3 linked regions of the Diceros bicornis minor genome follow. The protein of the gene in region 2 interacts with the protein of the main gene of each other region in a biochemical or structural test. Links are inferred from orthologs where the notes say so. Each region holds a gene or a part of one and is shown on either strand. Other genes may lie near its edges.

The links. The genes of interacting proteins can lie anywhere in the genome.
Region 1: the proteins of ERBB4 (region 2) and ABL2 form a complex in vitro, tested with the Homo sapiens proteins (2 studies listed by BioGRID and IntAct, with this or other methods). The link is inferred for Diceros bicornis minor from reciprocal best matches to the Homo sapiens genes ERBB4 and ABL2.
Region 3: the proteins of ERBB4 (region 2) and NRG1 form a complex in vitro, tested with the Homo sapiens proteins (2 studies listed by BioGRID and IntAct, with this or other methods). The link is inferred for Diceros bicornis minor from reciprocal best matches to the Homo sapiens genes ERBB4 and NRG1.

Annotation. Positions count from the first base shown.
Region 1 is NC_080743.1:87,717,844-87,725,261, reverse strand, and holds the start of ABL2 (tyrosine-protein kinase ABL2), read right to left. Parts: upstream 3,009-7,418; 5' UTR 2,794-3,008; coding exon 2,637-2,793; intron 1-2,636. UniProt on the Homo sapiens protein: Non-receptor tyrosine-protein kinase that plays an ABL1-overlapping role in key processes linked to cell growth and survival such as cytoskeleton remodeling in response to extracellular stimuli, cell motility and adhesion and receptor endocytosis.
Region 2 is NC_080776.1:3,746,243-3,753,704, forward strand, and holds the start of ERBB4 (receptor tyrosine-protein kinase erbB-4), read right to left. Parts: upstream 3,019-7,462; 5' UTR 2,944-3,018; coding exon 2,862-2,943; intron 1-2,861. UniProt on the Homo sapiens protein: Tyrosine-protein kinase that plays an essential role as cell surface receptor for neuregulins and EGF family members and regulates development of the heart, the central nervous system and the mammary gland, gene transcription, cell proliferation, differentiation, migration and apoptosis.
Region 3 is NC_080768.1:30,156,112-30,163,693, reverse strand, and holds the start of NRG1 (pro-neuregulin-1, membrane-bound isoform), read right to left. Parts: upstream 3,009-7,582; coding exon 2,342-3,008; intron 1-2,341. Other genes in the region: uncharacterized LOC128092250 homolog, read right to left, coding at 3,321-3,509. UniProt on the Homo sapiens protein: Direct ligand for ERBB3 and ERBB4 tyrosine kinase receptors. Concomitantly recruits ERBB1 and ERBB2 coreceptors, resulting in ligand-stimulated tyrosine phosphorylation and activation of the ERBB receptors.

The DNA.
Region 1 (7,418 bases), on a different chromosome or scaffold from region 2:
CCAGGCCAGCCCCTCAAAATACTTTTGTTTGTTGAATGAATGAACTATCCCTAGAATTTACCCCTCCTATTTCCACTGCCTCCACTCAAGGCCAGTCTTTCAGCATTTCATTCTTGGGGTTTGTTGACGTATCCTATAAACTAGCCAATGAGGTAAACTGATACAAATTCCTCTGCCACATTTTCCATAACTCAGAACCATCCAATGCATTCAAAGTTTTCTTCCCACTGCTTCTCAATTAGAATCATAAAATCTTAGAGTCAGAAGGTACCTTAGAGATAATCCAGTCCAACATTTTAAAGATAAAGAAACCCAAAGACAGTCCAAAGATAGTAAGTGACTAAATCACCCAACCAAGCAGAGCCAGGACCAGAACTTGATTCTTGCCTTTTTTGCTCTAGGATTCACTCCTGGCGGATTTGCTTCACTCCTAACAGATGTCACCTCACTATCCCATCAACAAATCATGTTCATTCCCACTGTTCATGCTCAAGTTGTTTCTCCTGCCCAGCCTGCCCTCTTTTTCTTGCTCCACAGATCCAAATCCTATCTATCCTTCAAAATCTCTTCCTATTCCATTCTTCACGACTTCCTCCTCTGAAAATCTTATGTCCTGAATAAGATGCTAGAGGAAAAGATCACCGTTGACTAATGGGCCAAGTTTAATGCATACTAACACTTCCTACAAAGCAAAGCTACTTGGATGATTTCTTCCCTGAAAACTATTCACTCATTCTTTCCTCCTGTGTTTTAGGAAGTGATGTCAATAAAGATCAACTCACATAGCACCTTCATAAAATGTTCATATACCAGGAAGAGAAGCTCATTCACATCTTTAATAGTAGACATGCAACGCCTGAATGGCCCCAAATCAGTTATATCTCCTCATTAAGAAACAACTCAGCTTATTCACAAAGTCCAAGCCCAGAACTCTCTGATACAACTCACCTAGCAGCCACAGTTCCTTGGTTCATCTCTTTCTCTGCATACTACCATCTATCATTATTCCCTCTAAAACTCCATTTCTAAAGAATAGTTCACACTTCTTTTTCTTACTCCTCTTCCCCACACTGTGCAGTATACAACACCCTGTCTCTTTTATCCTTTATTATTTTCTATATGCCTCTTCAGTGAAACTCCAGTTTGCCACCTCTCATCCAACCTCAACTATTCATATCCAGTCCTTTATACAGAAGTCCCATCTATCTTTTCAGCCTCTCTCAGGTCTTAGGGCATCTCAACCCCATGAAGGTCAATCTCATTTTTCCCCCTTCTCCACTCTTCCTTCCTCTAGAAAAGTGGTCTCAAAAGTGGTGTGGGTGCAGCTCAGAGAAACTGCAAAAGGATCCATTGGGCTGCAGGAAATAAAAATATATTAGAACTGTTTTTTTTTTTTTTTGTGAGGAAGATCAGCCCTGAGCTAACATCCATGCTAATCCTCCTCTTTTTGCTGAGGAAGACAAGCTCTGAGCTAACATCTATTGCCAATCCTCCTTTTTTTTTTCCCCCAAAGCCCCAGTAGATAGTTGTATGTCATAGTTGCACATCATTCTAGTTGCTGTATGTGGGAAGCTGCCTCAGCATGGCCGGAGAAGCGGTGTGTCAGTGCGCGGCCAGTAGCATAGTGCACGCACTTAACCGCTAAGCCACGGGGCCGGCCCTAGAACTCTTATTATACTTATTTTTTCATCTCATCCTTTCTTAAATTCTATTTCTGTGTACACTTATAAGTTACATACCATATTAGTACAGTAGGAGTGATAATTAATAAAGACAAATTCTTGGAGTATATGTTCTTTTACCAATAACAGTGTATGATCAAAAGAGTTTGGAGAAAAACATTCTAAAAATACCTTGATAATGAGGCCAAATAGGTTGCAGACTATATAGAGAATGTATGTATTTAGGTATGTATGCATGCATGCACATATACGGTAGAAAGAAAAACGTCAGTTCATACTCAAAGTCCTAACCATGCCCACCAACCTCTACCCTCTGCCAGCCATCTCAGAATTGTGTCCTACTCAGAAGACTAGAACAGAGGATGGTTTGGCAAAGTCCTTCATTTCCAGTTTGCGGAAAAAAAAAAAAAAATCAAAAGTGCTGAGATACCTTATCTTTCCCATAGAAGTTATTTCAGGACACTGTTCACTATCCTGGCACTGCTTATCGCCTTATACATATACTTTATACGCCACTATCTCCTGAGATTCAGTTCCTATTTCCCAGTCTCTTAAGGCACAACTCATGTTTCCTTCGCTAATGACCGATTTATACAAACCCCTCCGGGATTGGGCTCACACCTCCCTTCATCCTTCCCTCCTCTGGGGATACTGTCCACAGTATCCCTAAGCCGCACAGTCCCGTCCCAGGGTAGAGGACAGTCCATCCACAGTCCCTAAGACCACTTCTCTTTCCTCCTCCGCCCCCGGGAGCTGCCAGCCAGGCTGGAGACGGGAGGGGGGAGGGGTGTGACTCGTCTCCCGTGACTGGCCCAGATGGCAGCAGATTCCGCCCCCACTCCCAGGCACCCCTCCACCCCCGACCCCCTAGGGCTGCCTGTCTGCTTCCCACCCCGCCCCGACCCCACCCCTGGCCTCCCTCACGTCCTCACCCCGGCTCCTGGACACACTCACCATGCTGGGTAAAGATATTGAAGCCGGCCTCCGTGGTGCGTCCCGCCAGGTCCCGCCTGCGGCCGGAGGGCCTGGCTGCACTGCTGCCCCGGATCCCGCGGGGTTGCGGCTGCTGAAGCCCCGGAGCCTCCCCGACGCGGCCCACCTGCTGCCCCATCCCTGCGCTCGCGTACTCCCGCGCCCCCGCCGACCCCTGGTCACATTCCTCCTCGGCTCCGGCCTCGGCTCTTGGCGCTGCTCCGGCCTCTCCTTCCCAGTCCAGGCCCCGGCCCTGAGCGGCCGGGCCGCCGGAGGCTCCGCACCCGGTCTCCTCACAGCAGCCGCCGCGCCGCCTCTCCGCGACTCACAGATTCTCCCCTTCCCTCCCCCTCCCGCGGCTCCGCGCCCCCAACGCTGCCGCTGCCACTGCCGCCGCCGCCTCCGCCGCCGCCATCTTTAAACCACCGAGCGCTGGGAGAGCGTGGGACAGAGCGCCGCCCGCCCCCCACCCGACCAGTCACCTCCGCTGCTCAGGGGGAGGGCGCCCCGCGGCCCCGCCCCCGGCCCCGCCCCGCCCGCGCCGCCCCGCCTTCTCGCAGGGTGGGTCCCCCAGCGCCCACCTCATCTGCACGTCTACCTCTGCTTCAGGTCTTTCGGCGCCTCTGTGTCTTCGCCGCGCCTCGGCCTCCCAAGTCTGGATCCGCTTTAGCCGACCCATCCCACGTTCGGCTCCACATGCTACCGCCTTTTGGGGTTGGTCCGTCTAAAGCCTTCTGTGTCCCACCTCCACCTGTCAAATCAATCAGTCGACCTGAACGCCCCAGGTGCACAGCTCATTAGCAGGCACAGTTGGGACGGAAAAGCACAAGGCATTTGGTGCTTGTCATCCAGGTGAGGATCCCTAAAATGCCCAGGAGAATCCCTTTAAACACCCTTGTCAGCGGCCTAGAGTTAAAATTAAAATTATACAGAATTTACATGAAGATGGTAAAAAGTTATATTATTATTTCATTGTAATTTTTTGAAATTATTTCATGATGTTAAATTGCATTCGCTTTGATTGTCTGCACTCTACAGTCTCATTGGAGAAGCAGTTGTGGCCCCATTCCTCATATTATATTACCATGAATTCCTCTTGAACTTTTACAGCATCTAACCACATGTGTGTTTCTGTTACCCTTACAATGCTTGACAGTATGTAAAGCTAATCTTCCTACTGGCAGGCTTTATATACCGAGCACGTGGTCAGGTCTTTTGATGTCAAAGGAGAAAAAAAATCTTTGAACCTGTTTCTGAGTCAGAACTTACTCATCTTTAACTTATATTGTCTAAAGAGTGACTCAAGCAGAAGAGAAATGTTTTTTATACATGCAAACACATATATATGTATAAATTTCCACTTATCCCCCCACTGCACATTCTTGCATCTTAATATTGATCCAGTTTTTTAAATTCTCAAAGAACTTGATAATTATCCTCCTGCTATTCCTTTGGCTTTCCTCTTTCCTTTATAAAAAGTATTAGTTATTGGAGGTACCATACTGAAAATTTGCTTTAAATTAAAGAAGAGAGGATGGGAGCCATTACCAAGAAGCAGCAAAACAACCACAGGGATAGGTTTAGGGGGGAAAGGTGGACACAGTTCTCCTTTGCGTGTCTTTCATAGAACCAGGCTGACTTTAGATGAACCATCCACTGACATTGATACTCACTACTATAAAAGCATTATGAAATTATTCCGTTGCCATCCAGGGTGTGGCCAGAAATAACTGAAATTGCCCCCAAAATGGGAACAGAAACACTGTGCTTTAGCACTGGATAGAATATGAACTTTCCATTTGGATCAAAGTTTTCCTGTGCTTAAAATACTTTTTTTTCTTTTAATTCCCAAAGCATTTGCAACTACTGAAAAAAAATCATTCACAAAGGATAAAGGTGATCATAGAGCCAGAATTTGGTTTGTTGTTTGATTTTTATTATCTGAGAGAATTTTAATTTGGGGATAACAGTCTCTGCTGATTCATGCATGGTATATAATAGATGAGTATAGTATAGTGCTGTGGTTAAGGGCAGGGACTTTGAAGCCAGACTGCTTGAATTCAAAACTGGGCTCTGAAACTGATGAGCTATTTGCTCTTGGGCAAATACTTAACGTTTTGCACATCAATTTGTGGCTGTTGTGAGAATTAAATTGGTTACTATATATAACGCACTTAAAACAGTATTTGGCATATAATAAGTAACATACAAGCACTTCCTATTAGTACAAAAAAAATGACGTTTTCACAAGTCCATCAACTTTTCCAAGCCTAATTTCTTCAAGTGTTATACACTTAGATCATGGAACAAATTCTACAGAATTTATTCAGGTGAGCCCCCTTCCACCACCTGCCACCTTGCATCTAACTAAAAACAAAAACACCAACCAATAAAAACATGTAGAATCATATATCACTTTATTAGTCATTCCTACCTGGTTATCACCAGCTACCTGCACATGTGAACTATTACATAATACCTTTGTTTTGAATATGAAGATTTCTCTACCATTGATTCTTAAGATTCTGTATAGACTAAAGCAAATGCCCTGTAAGTGGAGACTTAGGATACATGCATTATCTTGTGGATATTTTCCATTCTTTCATTTTCAAAGTGAAATGGGAACTTTCAGAATTGGGGGGTGGTGATAGAGTAGAGAAAATCCTAATTAATTAGGTGGGAACTACATTTAGACATTTAAAACAATCTCAAGTAGTACCATCTCAAACTGAATTAAGGGCAGCTGTGAGCTCCAGGCAGGGGAAGAAACCAAGTGAAAAAAAGTAGCAAGAATGATGCGTGTAGCACTTCCCTGTCTTTACTAGTCTGCATTTCCAGCCTTTTGCCACATTCTTACATTATCTCCCATATCTACTTCTTTTTCTACACCTGTATGGACACAGTGTTCATTTGGACTCAGGCATCTCTCTGTTGGATTCTCCTGCTACTTGCCTTTTCTTCCTAGGTTCCTCACCTTTAGCACCAGGCAATACACTAAAACAAAAATATTTCTTCCTCTCATTGCTTTGGCCGTGTTCCCTCACCCCTTCATCAATTCTAAATTTTTCACCTAATGTTTCAAGACTATTTTTCAGGATACCTTGGATTATAATTGCCTAATGTTCATCATCTCCTGTTTCTCAAACCCTCACCCCTCCTATGACAGGCATGTATGTTTTATCCAGTTAGTCTCTTTCTGGGATGTTTTCTTCTTTAGCTATGACTTTTGCAATAATCATATTCTCTCCAATATGGCTCCCAAGTGACTCCTCTTACAGTATTCAGGATTCTACTCAGGTCCTGCCTCCTTCATAAGAGAATCTCAGACTTATCCATGGAGACCTGATAGTTTCCCTGGACTCGATTGGGTCCAGACCTAAAACAACCACAGCTGTTAACAATTCTTTGCTTATAAAATTCAACTACCTTCCTCTACATCCCCCAAATGTGTTTAATTTTGACACGTGGCTCAGTGTCACGGGTTGGAAAGAACCTTAGAGATCATCCAACCTAATCTCCTGGAATTCCCTCTACAATAACTCCAGTGAGGGGCCCATTTATTTTGAAGGGTTCTAATTGTTAAAAGTTCTTCCTAAAGATAAACTGACATATGCCTTCCTGATAGATCCATCTATTTCACTCCTGGTCCTAGTTCTATTCAGTAGCTACACAGAACAAATCTAACCTTTCTTCTACACAACAGCCCTACAAATATTTGAGAGCTGTCATGTTTCCCCAAATCTTATACTTGAATACGTGCATATGCTTGTGTAGTTATGTTTATTTCTGTCTCTATTATCTACATGGGCTGAGAATGTTTATGTAGATAAATTGGAAGAAAAAATGTCATTTTATATGTAATATTTTTCTCTTTTTTCCAGCTTTATTGAGATATAATTGACATATAACATCATGTAAGTTTAAGGTGTACAACATGTTGATTCGATATACTTGTAGACTGCAAAATGATTACCACCATAGGTTAGCTAACGCCTCCATCACATCACATAATTACCATTTCTTTTTTGGGGTGAGAGCATTTAAGATCTACTCTCTTAGCAACTTTCAAGTATATAATACAGTACTATTAGCTATAATTACCATGCTGTACATTAGATCCCCGAACTTATTCATCTTATAACTGGAAGTGTGTGTTCTTGGACTAACATCTGCCCATTTCCCCTACCCTTAGCCCCTGCTGACCACCACTCTACTCGTTGTTTCTATGAGTTTGGCTTTTTTCGATTCCACATACAAGTGATAGCATACAGTATTTGCCCTTCTCTCTCTGACTTATTTCACTTAGCATGATACTTTGAAGGCCAATTTATGTTGTTGCAAATGGCAGGATTTCCTTCCTTCTCATAGCTGACTAATATTCCATTATAGATATATGTATATTTCACATCTTCCTTATTCATTATTTTTTTTTAAGATTTTATTTATTTATTTTTTCCCCCCAAAGCCACAGTAGATAGTTGTATGTCATAGCTGCACATCCTTCCAGTTGCTGCATGTGGGACGTGGCCTCAGCATGGCCAGAGAAGTGGTGCGTCGGTGCGCACCCGGGATCCGAACCTGGGCTGCCAGCAGCGGAGCGCGCGCACTTAACAGCTAAGCCACGGGGCCGGCCCCCTTATCCATTATTTTTAAGCTGTTTGTGCATGCAGTACTTTGGATTTTGTTTATGTGTGGTTTATCTTCGCATTGTTGTTGTGTTAAGTCTTTAAAGGCCTATAGAGTGCCAAATATAGTTCCATTTAC
Region 2 (7,462 bases):
TAGTCCTTTTGGTGGTAAAGTCTTTATAATTGTCATTATAAAGGGCCTTTGGCTATAATATTTCTAGATAAAATGAATCACTAGAAATGAGACAAACTGCTTCAGAATTACTAAAAGATCATCTTCTCTAAAGCTGATTTTTTTCCAAACAAAAGAAGAAAAAATCAAAACAGGTCCTCTTCCTTTACAATTATTTTAAGAAATATCTTAGATCTAGACAACAGAATCCCCCCTATATTTTTATTCTGTTCACATAGAGCAGTAAATAAGGTGCATTCCTTCTGCTTAAGAAATTAGCATTTCAAAAATATGCCACTTTCCCCTGAACTCCAAGCGTGTCTAATAATGCGAGAAGCAGATTGTCTTCCCTCGTTTCCTTAATTTGTTTCATCTAAAAGCAATTCACTCAACATCTTGTCGCCCTCTGGCAGCTTAGTTTACTTATCCGCACTTAATTTCTCATTTGGACCAAAACAAACTCCTGCAAACTGCTACTGACTGCTAACCGCGAGAGGGGAGACACGCAATATGTATTTACTTGGGAACATACAGACACACAAACACAGCCACACACACACACACAGAGCCTCACTCATACACCAGACAGTCACTTGGTTTTATAAAAGCACAACATTAAAACCCGCGGAACTTCCCCCGCCAGGTGCCGGGGTTGGGGCGGGGTAGGAGTGGGTAGGATGAAAAAAGAAGTCCCCGGGGGCGTTTACAGTTTGCAGCGGATCTCCTTAGCCTGCGAGCTGCAGTTACACCAGGGATGCGCGCGAGAGCTCTTCGTTGTGCGGCCCTTTCATCTAGATCACTTTGTGTTTGGAACCAGGGAGGCTCGCCTTTGTGCCCCCAGAATTTCAAGTGCACAGCCACACACGGGACAACAATGGCACGCTAATCCTCGCGCTCTAAATGGGCTCAATTGTGGGTCTGACAATTCGCGGGGGGAAGCGAGGAGAGACGAGCGAGGGCGCGAGCCGGTGTCGCCTGAGACGAGGAAGGGGACAGCTGCAGAACTAATTTGGATTACATCCCTCGCAGAAATTCTGAAAAGGGCTTTTCGGCATAGCTCAACCTCGAGCCGCACAGTTAAGCCCAAATTGCTGCGGACTCGGAGCCGGGTCCCCCAGCGGCTGAGGCTGAACCAGACAGCCCCCAGTAGGTCGCCTCGTAGAAATTCCTCTCGGCTAAGCCTGCCTGTCAGTCGCCGCTGCTTTTGAATGGGTCAATGTGCATAATCAACCCATTGAGGGCAAATATGAAGGGACCCGGGGTAGGGAGGGGGATAAAAAGGGATGTAGCTAAGAGGCCGCTTGGAATCTCGAGTCCGTGTTGGTGTCAGTCCGGAGGTGGCCGGAGCGCGGGACCCGGTATGCATGAAGAATTTCGGGGTAATTGGGAGGGTGCAAACGGCCAGAACAGACAGCGCGCATTGTGCCATTCGAAGGTCATTCTGAAAGACTCGGTGATTGTAACTTGTTATTTACTAGGCAAGGAGGGGGCGGCGGCGGCGGGGGCGGAGCGGCGAACTACAGCGCGCTGTTTTCTTGGTGAGGTCAGCAGGACACCCTCCGGGGGCCTGAAGCTCTCCTATCTACACTCCCGGGAGCTTTATCTCCCCTAGCTGCCTCCCACGCTCCCGCGACCAGCCCTGGATGGCTCCGGAAATCTCTCTGGCTCTCCAAAAGGCCCCCCTGGCCGCGTGAGACACCGCTTCTCCTCCGTCCTTTCCTGTCCCACGTTCATCCCCAGGAAACTCAAGTGTCAGAAACTTGGAGCTCCCTCGCACTGCAGGCGCTATCACTAGCCCTGCGCGGCGCGGAGCGCCGGCCCCACTGCGCTGCCTCCCCGGGGTCAACTGGCCGTCTGCCTGTCCGGGTCACCGGCGCGCAGGCTCTCCAGCAAACAGTGGCCGCGCACCCGGCGCAGCCACGCCCGCCTGGGGTTCAATCCATCCGCGCGACGGGTCGGCTCGGCAGCCACGCCGGGCAGTAAACAGAGAAGTTGGAGGGACTCCGGCCAATAGCAAGTTGAACTACAGGAAGAACTCTTCCTGGTGCCAAACACAGCAACCGACGGGAAGGCCGGGCTCCCGGCTCAAGTATGTCAAGCCTTTTTTTTTTTTTTTTTAAGGAGTCAGGCGGCCAAGCCAGCTCCCCTCCAGTCAACGGGGCGAGGGCTGCGGGACGCCGGCCGAGGAGGCCCAGAGTTCCGGGCCCCCGGCCGAGGCGCGCGCGCCGGCCCGCCCGCCGCGCTCCAGCTGCCCAGGCTGGGCTCAAGTCGGGTCTGACCCCGCAAGGCTCGGGCGACTGGGGGCGCGGTGGCCGCCGGCAGCACACACAGGTGCAAAGCCCGGCTCTCGGAGCTCCTCTCCCCACAGCCCTCGCGCTCCTAAGCAGCCCAGCCGGCAGCGCCCCGGGACCCCGTCCGTCGCGGCCCTGGCAGTGCGCGCCTCTCCGAGGCTTCTCCCTCCGGGGGCGCAGACGGGGAGCGGACCGTCTCCCCTGACTCGGGATTCGGGTCTCCCACGTCCTGCACAAGCGCGCCCAGAGAGATTCCGCTTAGGCTCATAGAAAACGCGCCAGAAAGAAGGGGGTTCGGGGGAGAGAAAAAGGGAGAGGGGCGCAGAGGGATTTTTCACGATCCATAAAACACACGCACAGACAGAGGGTAAGTTTGGGGACAGAAAGAGGGGCGAACGAAAGCCCCAGGATGAGGCCCCGGTGGAGTGGTCCCTCCGCGCCCGGGAGCGAGCGGGTCTCAGGCTGGGCGAAGGGGGCGCGGGCGCTACCATCGCGGCCAAGCCGGCGGCAGCAGGTTCCACCCCGGGAGCGCGACAGGGAACCGCGACCCACCTGACTGAGAAGCGCTGGGCTGGACGGTCCCCGCCGCCACGAGAAGGCTCCCCCAGACCCACAGTCCTGTCGCCAGCTTCATTTTTTGGACGTCTCAGATCCCGTGCTGACAATTACATGTCCAAATGGCATATCCCCTTTCGGGCACGCGGAGGAGAGCCCGCAGCCAGGCGCGCGTGGGGGCGCAAGGGGGACAGGCGCGCGTGGGGGCGCAAGGGGGACCGGCTCCGAGCGGGGACGCCCGGTCCGCGGGTCCGGGGCCGGGGCCCCGAGGAGAGGAGAGTGTGCGCGCGCGTGGGAGGGTGCCCGAGTGTGTGCGCGGGGCGCTCCGGGCCGGACTGTGCAGCTATTCCCCGTGTGAGCCTTCGCTGTCTCGCTCCCTCCTCACTTTCTCTCTCTCACTGGTTGGTCCACGATAAAAAGGAAGGGGGAAAAAGGTTTCCAAAAAAAGTTGATTGCAAAGAGGCGGTAGGTTTCCGGCCTCTCCCCCCAGCCGCGCTATGTTCGGCTCCCTTTGCAGTGTCCCTGCACCTCCAGTCCAAATTGGGAGGGAAGGGGGGGGGAAGCGTCCTGCTTCTCCCCCGATCCCGTCCTCCTTTTCCCTGTCAGCTTGCCTCACGCTTGTCCGGCGGCTGCGGTAATTAAAGCTCCGAGCGTCACTTCCAACGCTCCGCGGTCTCCAGCTGCAGCCCCACAGAGAAATTAATAAGGCTCCGGCAGAAAAAAAAGGGGGAGGGGGCGGACAAAACCACCCTCACGCAGCCAGCCTGGCTCGGCTCGGCCGCGCAAACCCCGCCCCCGCTCTGACCCAACTAGCCACGCCCTTTCGCCCGCCCCCCCAAAGGGAAATCTTATTGGCTCAGCCACTCCCCAAAATCCTCGGCCTCAGGAGTTGGGAAAACACCTGTCAGGGAGCCGGAGGGGGGGGGGTGTGGGGGCGGAGAAGCCGGATTTAAAGGGCTCACCCGAGGCCACAGACTGAAACAGAGGCCCGGGACAGCTGGCCCGTGGAGCGCGCGGACCACACGAGGGATGCTTGCAGAAAAGATCTTTTTTAAACAAGAAAGTCACCATTTTTTCGTATTGCCCCACGGTGCTCATCCACAGACTGGATTTTCCCTAGAAATAGAAGAAAAGACAACGTTGCTTCCGGCTAAAAGCCTCCCCCCAACTCTCTACCCGCACCCTCCCATTCTCTACGCTCAGAGAGTAGTTTAAAAGCCGATTCAGTGACTGTTAGCCTCTGCAGATTGGAAGTCCGGATCCCTTTTCTCAGCCTCGCCGGCTCTCCCAGTATTCCCACCATTCCAAACTGACCAACACTGCGTCAGCTGAAAACTCCGCATTTGTAGAGCTGCATCCTTTGATTTTAGACTTGATGAGTCTTTTCACCTTTTCCTTGGACTCGAGGACGACTTGGTTTGGGGTTCATTCTCATTAAGTAGATTCTAGTCCAAACCTACTGATTTGGTTCTAAAGAGCTAGAAATTGTCCCAGGCCTGAGCTATTCAGTCTGAAAGGATTAAGAAGCCCATGTCAGGGATAACCAACCTCAGATGATTAGGCTTCCTCGACAGCGGACCCAGCTCTAGGCTCCTTCCAGGTTTTCACTCTGCAAGGTCACCGCTCCCCAAGCCCCAGGTCATTGCTAGCTGTGGGAGTTTCCGGGTTCTTCTGGATCTAAAATATCCTGGGATTGGGTCATATCTGTGTACATATCCCTCGCCTTTTACAGCTCTGGAACTGTACCCTGGGCAGAGGCCAGAACCTCCTGGGAGGTTGTAGGTTATTGGTTTGCTATTTGCACAGGCATTCTTTGTATGGATTATTTTCCTTTTTCAGTTTCTCTAGAAGCAGCAAATATATAAATGAAGAGTATCAGGGGAACTTAAAAATCAAGCCACCTGCCTCCTCACCCATCATTTGAGACCTTCCCCTTCCTCCTCCACATCTTTTATCTATAGCCTTGTCCCTTAAGAATTTCCAGGAGCTGAGCACAGGGAGAAAAAACAGCCTCTTTCCAGAAGCCCGAAGCCTTCCCTTTCTTAGGCCCACAGCTAGCAGCAGGCACAGAGAGGAGGCCAAACAGGTTGAGCATGCTGTTTTACCCAGAAGCAGCCTTGGGCCAGGAGAAGCTAAGCCTAGAGCAGGTGATGGTGACTTCACCAGAGTGGTACTGATTGCAGCAGAACTGTGCACACTGCTCTTTGGGATTATCTTTGTTTTCTATTTTTATCACCTCGACTCTCTGTTTTCTTTTCTTTCATTCCATTTCTTCTCAGCATCCTTGTCTCAAATCCCCTTCTACTACTTTTAATGAATTTCAGACACCTCTCTTCCATGAAAGCTTCTTCTTTTTAAAATTTCCATTCTGTCCCCAGAATAACAACTTAAGCGATTCAGGATTAAGTTTCTGTATCAAAAAGAGAAGTCTTGTTTCTGATAACAATTATGTTGCAAGAAGTGAAGAAATAGATTGTGTACTTTAACTTAAAGTTGAGGGAAACATTAAATACTCTGAATATGTTGAGTTTTTTAAAATATATTTGTGTCTGTCGTGATAGCTTTTACTCCTCCACGAATTTTATGGCGATTTTGTTGCTATAAAATTGTGGCAGGAGGGGCTGGCCCAACTGCTTCGGCAGCCCGGGGTTTGCAGGTTCGGATCCCGGGCACAGACTGACACACCACTCACCGAGCCATGCTATGGCGGCGTCCCATATAAAGTAGAGGAAGATGGGCACGGATGTTAGCACAGGGCCAATCTTCCTCAGCAAAAAAGAGGAGGATTGGCAATAGATGTTAGCTCAGGGCTAATCTTCCTCACAGACAAAAAGTAAATAAATAAAAAATAAAATAAATAAAATTTTGTCAGAAACTCTCCTATACACTTTGATCCCATTTTCCTGGTTTTAACTGATTGAAACAATGATTAATACCTGGCCAAATTTGGGTATCTGAGCTGCAGCCTATAAAATGAATTGGCAAGAAAGCTCTATGCCCAAAAAGCATCCTATATTCAATGGTGACTGGTCTACCCAAGCAGAGTCTAGTTCAAATAATTTGAATATGAGACCCTAGAGACTTAGACAGAAGGTGGTATTCTGTGGGGGCAAACTGGAAGTGAAAACATAGAAGCCATGAGCTAGAGTCAAGAATTAATTCTTTTTGTGTTTGCTCCCATTTGCTTCCCAACATCTAAGGAGGGGACATTTGCCACCTGATGTGGAAAGCACATGCTAACTGGATTGCTAGAGGATTTCTGAGATGGGTCTCTGTATTTCTTCATTTTCCTATCGATCTTTATAATAGATCCCCATCAGTTGAGTTAACTAAAATATGTTGCTGTTATTTGCAACCTGGAAAAAAACACATCTAGTAACCCATCATGTTACTTAGCAAACCGTAGGTGAATATCTGGAATTATCTGCTCAGTACCCCTTTTCTAGGAACTGTCCTTCCCTCAGTTGTACATCTTTAACTTGGGTCTGCCTCCATGGTACAACAATCCCCACTCCCTTGTTCTAAGTTGGACCAATCAAAATGCCTTCATCACTGATGATTGGTTGAGAGATGGTCATTTCTGCTCAGTATCTTCCCTGGGATTTTTGTGCATGGGAAAGAAAGAGTTCATATTCTTTCATTCACTGGTAGCTTTTGAGATCTAAAAGTCCGGAGTTGGCCTGTCTATATTTCCTTCTTTGTAGGGATAACCAGGCTGCGGTGAGAAAGAGTGAAGCTGCCATTTGAAAGGAGCCAAAGCCCAGGAAGGTCTGGAAAAATACTCAAGCTGTTCCTGTTGCTTAGTTGTTCAAACCCCGTTTTTCCTTAAGCTAGTTCAATTTTTGTTTTTGAAACCAGAACTCCTGAAATGGTAAAAGAACTTCTGAAACCAGAACAGCGTGAAGTGGTAAAAGAACTTCTCCAGCCTGAGTGAGCTCATAGAGACCATCACGCCCCTTGAGGAGGATGTCTTGATATGGCCCATGTTCAGTTTCCCTTCCCAGTTTCTCATGACTTCCCTTGGCTGAAGCCAGAACCCCAACAAAGAGATTCCTTTGGCCTTTGCTGCTTCCCCATATCTCCTTCTCCACTTCATTTCTTCCATTAGTGGTAGAATTCAAAGAGAGTCTTGACATCATGAGTGACAGAATGCTACTGGTGAGAGAAAGGAACACATTGATCTCAGAGTTCAATGTTGAGTTGGACACTTAACTTTGCCCAGAGTCTGATAGCTCACTTCAATCTCCTGCTTGTTTCTAAGACTTCCCTAAAGGTAAGATTAGAGCTTGCTGCTTTAGACATTTTGTCATTGGCCATAAGTATAAATTTCCGATAAATATCAACTAAGAAAAGAAAACAACACCCTATTGTAAATCAGTTATCTTCTCCTGAACATTTTAAAATAAATACAGGATTCTAATTTTCCCTCCCTGTCCATCATGATCTCCCTCGTCATCTTTCTAAGTTATCTTGTGATCATGAGAAACTTACTTCATATACCTACACCCATTGCCTTGTCTTTAAAGGAAGGGATTGTTATGTCCCAAATCTAAGACTTCGGGGCCGGCCTGGTGGCGCAAGTGGTTGGGTGCGCGCGC
Region 3 (7,582 bases), on a different chromosome or scaffold from region 2:
ATACTTTCTTAGTTGAAAAGAAAAAAGTGAAAGAGATTATAAAATGACAATCTAATTCCAAGCTTTTTTTTTTTTTTTGCTTTCCTTTAGTTAATGTTTACAAGCTTGTTAAACAACAATAACAACCACTTATGAGTTTCTGAAAACAAAGCTCCCTGGACCAACCCCTTTCCAAAAAAAAAAACAAACACAATTTTTAGGATACTAGTGTTTTTGTTGTTTTCAGGCACTAGATCAAAAAATTAACACAGAGTTTCCCATACAGAAAACCCTATAGGCTGTAAAGTGTTAACCAACACTCTCCCCTAACTTTTCAGGAGACCAGCACTTCCCAGACTGCTTTTCCAGGCTTCTCTCCAATGGACTTCAGAACACTGCAGCTGTGCATCTGGCCAGAACTGGCCCCTAGGATGCTTTTAGGCAGCAGTAAATCTTTTCCACTCAAAGCAAATGCCAGAAAATCAATGCTCTGGCTTGGAAACACGAAAAGAAAAGAAACTATATGGAATGTGTAATCTATTAAAACACTTGCTAGAAGAATTGCCCTTAAAAAATAATTTCTCAAAACGTCACGACATACTTTTTGATATGGTCCTAGATCAGGAAAATGTGCTGGGTATTTCTTTGTTTGCTTGTTTTCCGCGGACAGAATTATAGAATTTAGTTGAGTTTTTCAAAGAGTCTTCTTTCTTTTTCTGGACAACTAGACCTATTCAGGCACATTTTAATTAAAGACTTAAGTTGAAAATGATAAAGACAAAGAAGTAACCTTGTCTGCATAGTGAATTTTGCTTCTCTTTGCAGGATTTGGACTTGCTTTTTATAGCCTGTCATTTCATCTGGGTATTATTTCCCGGTCACTTTGCCAGGTGGGAAGAGGCAGTGAATGCAGCGATGTCTGTCAGACCTTTAATGATGCTTCAGGGATTTGATAAAGATACAAAGCAGTAGGACGTTCTTCCCTAATTACACCTGAAAAACAAGCCTCTTTTTTTTTTTAAACCTTTGCCACTAAAACTGGTGTGTATAAAATGATCCTGATTCATAAGCCCAAATCAAGTTTTTCTCTGTTTCTGTAACACACGGATCCCCCTCATCCTGAACATAATGTCTGGAAAAGATATTTTTTATTCTTCATTTCCATTTAGAGGGAAGCAAACGGGGTATTTCATCACAGAAGCCTTATCCTCAACTCTCCTTTAAGAGATTTTACACACGTTTTTAAGAACCAAATCCTCTGATCTTTTACTTTTTTCTACTCAAGAAATATTCATCAATGGTAAAAGTGATAGAAGATAGAGAAACAACAATAAATTAGAAATGTAAAAAAAAAAAGAGCTATAGAAAACTCCTCCGTTATACGTTGATGTTTAGAACAATCTGACTAGTCACGGTCTCATCCTTGTCAACTTTCCATTACAAAGCATTGCAATGACCAGGTACAAACAGCAGTATATTGTTCTGTTTTGTTTCAACAGCATGGGCTCTCTTCACTCACAGATTATTAAACTGGACTGCTGCAATCTGATGGGCGAAATGACACATGTCTAAAAAAACGACGTAGCTTACTAATGTATTCTGTACTTTTTAATAACGGCCAAGGAAGCTATTTAAACATTTGATTACAGAAGACAAAACTAATCTGGGAAAATCTTTTCATGCAGAATTATTCTGTGTTCTGAACAAAATTAAGCTGCCTCTCGTAAGTGCTCAGAAACTGAAACTACAATCTGGGTAGGACAGCTGTAGCCTGACGCTGGCGAGAGGTGAGCATCATAAATGTCTAAAGACTTGATGCAATATTTGGAGGAACCAATTAAAACACAAATGCAGGGAGAAGTGGTTAAAGGAACAGGAAGAAGAGATGGAGAAAGAGAACAGGCAGCTTGGGATGGCTGGGAGGCACAGGGTATCAGAAAGCTGGGGAGAGGTGATAGGAACTCTATGGTGGAAAAAGAAAGACACAAAATCAGACTCACTGCTATGTGAAAATCAAATTTATATAAAAAATACAGGATGGGCTGACGTTTAATTTTAAAAAGTATTAGAAATCAATTGAATTTAACTCAGACGCTGAAGTTTTGGGCCCCCCACCCCAGATTTAACCATCTGGCTAGAGCGAGCTTCTGTTAGAGCACTGATTCATACTAGGAGTTTACAAGATCTTTTTACTCATCTCTTCAACGCCAGCCCAAGCATCCCAGTCACATGATAGGCTTCAACAAAACCAGGCAATTAAAATACAAGGAGGAGAGGAAACAGCTACACGCCCTGGAGAACACCTTTTAGGATCTCCAACCCACCCTTTCTTTTATCCATCACCATCTCTCTCTCTACTTACAAAGTTTAGGAGCAGTTTGAAGATTAGTTTCTGTTGTTTGTGGCTGAGTTGCTGACTTGGGTGTTCTCACCTCAGGGCTCCGAGTGGGTGACGGGAAGGATGGTGCAGTGGACGGCAGGAAAGAAAAGGCAAAAATACGATTCTTCGGGGTGGGTACCGCTGAAGGTTCAGAGGACACAACAGCATTGTCAACTTGCACTGTAACTTGAACCTCAGTGTCAGATTGAGCCCTAGAGACAGGTGAAGTGTATGCCTCAGATGATACCCACACAGCTGAGGCAGCAGTTGGATCCAGAGAAATAATAGGGTCCTGGCCTAACCCCCCGGGGTCAAGGTGAGTGGGAGAGTCATACTCAAATATCTTGTCCACAAATACCCACTTGAGGCCGGCAATGCAGAGGCAGAGGCTGACGAGGCAAGCCAGAATGGGGACAATGCAGATTTTCTCCGAGTTGAGGCAACCTCTCAGGCGCTCGCCTTCCAGGCAGACACAGCAGGGAACTGCCAGGCCCACGAGTCCGGAGGTTCTCCCATCTTCAGTCTGGGTCTCTGGCATGTCTTCAGCTGCCGGAAGCCCGTCAAGAGATGGGTCTGTACTCAGCTGAGTGGAGGGGCTGGAGCACCTCTCTGCAGCTACCCCAGACATGTCTGGGGAAGAGATCTCCATGGGCTCACCTCCAGAAGGCCTGGCCTCTCTCATGGTCCATTACCAGGCAGGGCCCCCCCCAACCAAATGATACAGCATCTTACATGGGGAAATCGATAAGTCGTCCAAGTCCAAGGCCATTATCAAAAGCAAGAGGAGTTCAGGAGGAAGGAAGGAAAAAAAGCCCCTAGCAACTACCAAATAAAAGTATATGGTAATTCTTTACTGCTGTTTCTGGGCCACTTTAGTAGTTCTTTTAAATGCTTCTCCAAACCATCCGTGCTAGTCAAGAGGGCAGGGGCCAGAATAGAAATCCAGCTGATGGTTGGTCAATTAAGTGAACCAGTAGCCCAAACTGAAAGGCATGTTTCTCACCTCGAGCATCTGAAGCTGGTGTCTGCTTAGATGGAGAAAACAACTGTCATGCAGGAGAAGTAAAAGCAAGAGCAGAATCAGCGGCGGCGGCGGCGGCGGCAGCAGCGGCGGCGGCAGGAGAGGCAGCAGCGACAGTAGCAACAGCATCCTGTTGTGTTAACGCGACGGCTGAAAGAGGCTGAATCATTACAGAGCAGCAGGTGCCTGCCCTCCGAGCATCACTGCAAACAGTATCATCACAGAGGGATCTGAAGGGACGAGTGCGGCCAGGAGGGGCGGTAACTCCCCTCCCCGCCCTGCCTCCACCCCCACCCCGCAACCACTCCTCTTTGTCCTTCTTGAGCGCTCATTCACTTTCTTCCTCTGCGGCTCTTCCCTTCTTCATAGTCTCTTTCTCTTTCTTTCCCCTCCTCATCCAAAGACGTTCTCACTCTCTCTCTTTCTTTTTCCTCCCTCCTCTCCCAACCCCCACCCTCTACCCGCACTCTGGAGCTGCTTGGCTGGTCTGAGTAAAATCAGTATACCCAGCAACACAGGACTGCCAGTGACTTCCTATTTTATCCAATTAGAAGGAATAAAGGCCATCAAATCAAAGAGAAGCAGGCAGGCACCAGTTAAGCTTGGTCCCCATGGCCCCCACCCTTTTTCTTCTCTTTCTCTTTTTCTCTCTGCAAAAGCGGCCCCAGTCTTCCACCCCCACCTTGCTTGCTTTCAGTCTGGCTGGCTCTCTTTCCTGCACCCACTGTTGGGTCAGGAAAAGGCAGCGATCGATGCTAGCAATCTAACAAAGCTGGGCTGAGGCTGGGGATGTAGGTGGGACCTTCTGGGTTGGACCTGGGGCTTGGCAAAGTCTGATATCTGATTCCTCCCTAGAGAGGTAAGCTTTTCAAGCAGCAATTACTTCCTGCCTGCTGCTGAGAGATAGCGTTCCTTCCTCAGCCCTCCAGTAAGTTTTGTTCACCAACAGGACTGTTATTACCTGATTTTCAACCAACAGTTCGAACATTTCTTTCAAACCATGGACAGCTCTGCCTTTGGCCCTTTTTGCAATGATTGTGTAAGACTTTGTAATGCCCAGTGTGAAATGCTGAGTGTATGGTGAAGGAGGCGGGTGCTAGGGGAGGGGAGAGAGACTCATACGTCCCCACTCTGGTCCTCTTTAAATTTCCATTTCCCTGTGCCACTCACAGCAGTCCTAGATGAATATCAAGCTAATAAGAAACCCTGGGAAGTAACAGAGCTACGAAGGGAGCAAAGGCTACCACTTCTTTTTGAAATTAGCCTTCATTGTGACTTCACACTGCGGAGGTTTGAATTCCCTGAGTGCTGTAATATATACCACATGTCCTCAGCTATAACCACACTGAAAGTATTAAGAAGAGTTTTCTATTAGAGCATGCCTTTTGGGTTAGGTTTCAGTAGCATTACCTTACAGATAGTTTCAATGTTGATTTTTTCCCCCCTTTTAAGATAGCAGTCATTAAGATACTGGGAAGAAGTGCACTGTCCTCAATAGAGAGCACATGGTCCCCCAAACCTCCCGTTGGTTACACGTCAGCGCACACTATATGCATCGTAACCTTTAATCCACGCTTTACTGTGACTGGACACCCGAATGGTTTCCAAGGAACCATTTTGCTCACCTATGTCAACAGGAGTCTTAAAAACTCTCTCTAAATCTATACTACATAACCATCATATGAGTCCCAGAAGCAATAAAATTTAGAGCTCAAGTCCTGAGAAAAATCTGCTTTAAGCACATGATATTTTGTATAGCACAATCTCCACTGCTTTGAAATATTTTTAAGCTTTAAGTGGGCATGAGATAAGAATATTATCATTTCTTTCAAAATGAAATTAGTCCATAATTATAAATGATTTAGGGGGCATTCATATCTTAAAATGTGCTTGTAGTACTGTAACTAACAACAACAAAAGCCTGAACAAATTTGCATAATCATAATTATGACTATGACAAGCTTATGGGCAAAATGAGTTATCCTGAAGTTCACCTCTACATAACCTGCATTTATGCACCAGTATTTTAAAATAATTCCTATGCCTAGTTTCTATTTTTAACAGTGAGAGCTTTCTGAAAGATTCTAGCAATGGACATAAAATTTCATATCATAGAAAATCTATATTGAAGCATTTGCAGTATTCCAACTGAGGTATTAAGATTTTAATGATCACTATTCATGTAAATATTCAAAAACAATATAAACAAGTAAATGTTTACGCTAAATTAGGATAACTTATAATTCCTTCAGAGATCACCCGGTGTAAATATGTGGCACTTAACTCCTCAATTCTGCCCCAAACCAAAATTATACTCAAGTATAATCCACTGGCATTTTATCCACAGCCAAGGTCATCTAAATTTCAAAGACCAAAATGGGGTTCAGGTAGCCCAAGTCAGGCAGGTAAGAGAAGACACCAAGAAGAGTAACCAATAACGTAAAAAGTGGTCCTTGCAGCCGGCCTGGTGACACAGTAGTTAAGTTCATGTGCTCCACTCTGGCGGCCCGGAGTTGGTGGGTTCTGATCCCCGGCACAGACCTACACACTGCTCATCAAGCCATGCTGTGGCAGCGTCTCATATACAAAGTAGAGGAAGACTGGCACAGATGTTAGCTCAGGGACCATCTTCCTCAAGCAAAAAGAAGAAGATTGGTAACAGATGTTAGCTCAGAGCCAATCTTCCTCATGAAAAAAAAAAAAAGTGGTCCTTAACTTGCACCAATCACAACTACTCACCTCACCATAATTGTTAAGAACAAACACATTCAGCAGACAAAGAAATCACTGGGCACTGCTGTAGCTGTCATATTAGAAACACGCATCTTTAATATGACAACTAGAACAGTGCTGAGTAATTTCCTACAAAGGAAAATAACACATTATACAAAGACTAGGCCAAAGCATCAGAGACAGAATCCTGTGGGCCACCACAGCCATTCCGTCCCCTGGACTGCACGAATCAGACTGTGGGATGTGCATGTGTCCTCCTTGGAGATGTACTCCATGAACCTTGTGGCACCTTGGAGATAAGATCAGAGTGCAGAGAGCCAGCATCCTATAAAGTTGTTTCCCACCAAATTGGAAAGTGAATAATTGAGGAAAGGGAGTAGGACAGGAGGTACAGAATAAAAGGAATTCTCCAATAGTTCTACCCTTTGGACTAGGAGCCAGAAGTTGTCTTTATCCCTTTATCAAATTCTCTATAGCAATAAAGAAGTGAGGAAGGGTAGTGTGAATGGGACAGGGATCGAAATTTCCTTTGGATAAAACATGCCTGTTTGTAGGAAGAAGTGCAAGGATGTATCACTTTAACCCTTTAGGCTACACCCCAATAAAGCTCAAGGAACCCATATTTCCATGTTCCCTTAAAAAATGAACAAGAGACATATTTTTACTGCCTTTTTAACACCACGTTACCACCTCCTTCATACAAAAAAAGCTACATTTATTGAGCTCCACCTTTGCGCCAGGCACTCTGTAGATTCTTAACATACATTATTTCTGATCTTCTCTAATCCTGTATAATACATATTATCTGGAAAACAAAGAAACAGACTCAGGCGGCTTAGGTAACTTAGCCATGGACACACAGCTATTAAGTGACAGGCCAAGATTTGAACAAAGGTCTGACTCATGCTATTTTTGCTGAAAAATACTGCTTCTCTTTTTTAATTAAAAGAATGCATTTGATTATGTATTCCTCACCTACCACTTCAAGGGGAGAATAAGTGACCCAGAAAGCATAACAATGAAATAGGCAATATTACCTTAATGTAGCTGGTAAACACACTTAAAAGGTGCCTAGTTTCCAAAAAAGCCTTCTAAGATTTTGCCTAGTGAGTTGCGAAAGTTATAAGGATTAATCATAGGCTATTTAAGTATCTCTATTTAGACTTTAAATTAAACGAGCTCTTCCACAGTCTCAGTTACAGGATTTTCTCTGGAATACTATTTCAGTTATGTATTGCTATGAAACCAACCGCCCTGAAATAGCTTAAAACAAAACCATTGTATTGTATCTCACTCGTCTGCAGGTTTACTGGGTTCAGCTGAGTGGTTCTTCTGCCCACTTGGATGTCAGCTGGGGCTGCAACCAGCTGGAGGTGCGACTGGGCTGAAACATTCAAGCTGGCTCCCACACCTGACTGGCAGCTGATGCCAGGGGTCAGCTGGGAGCTCATCTGGGACTACTGGATGGT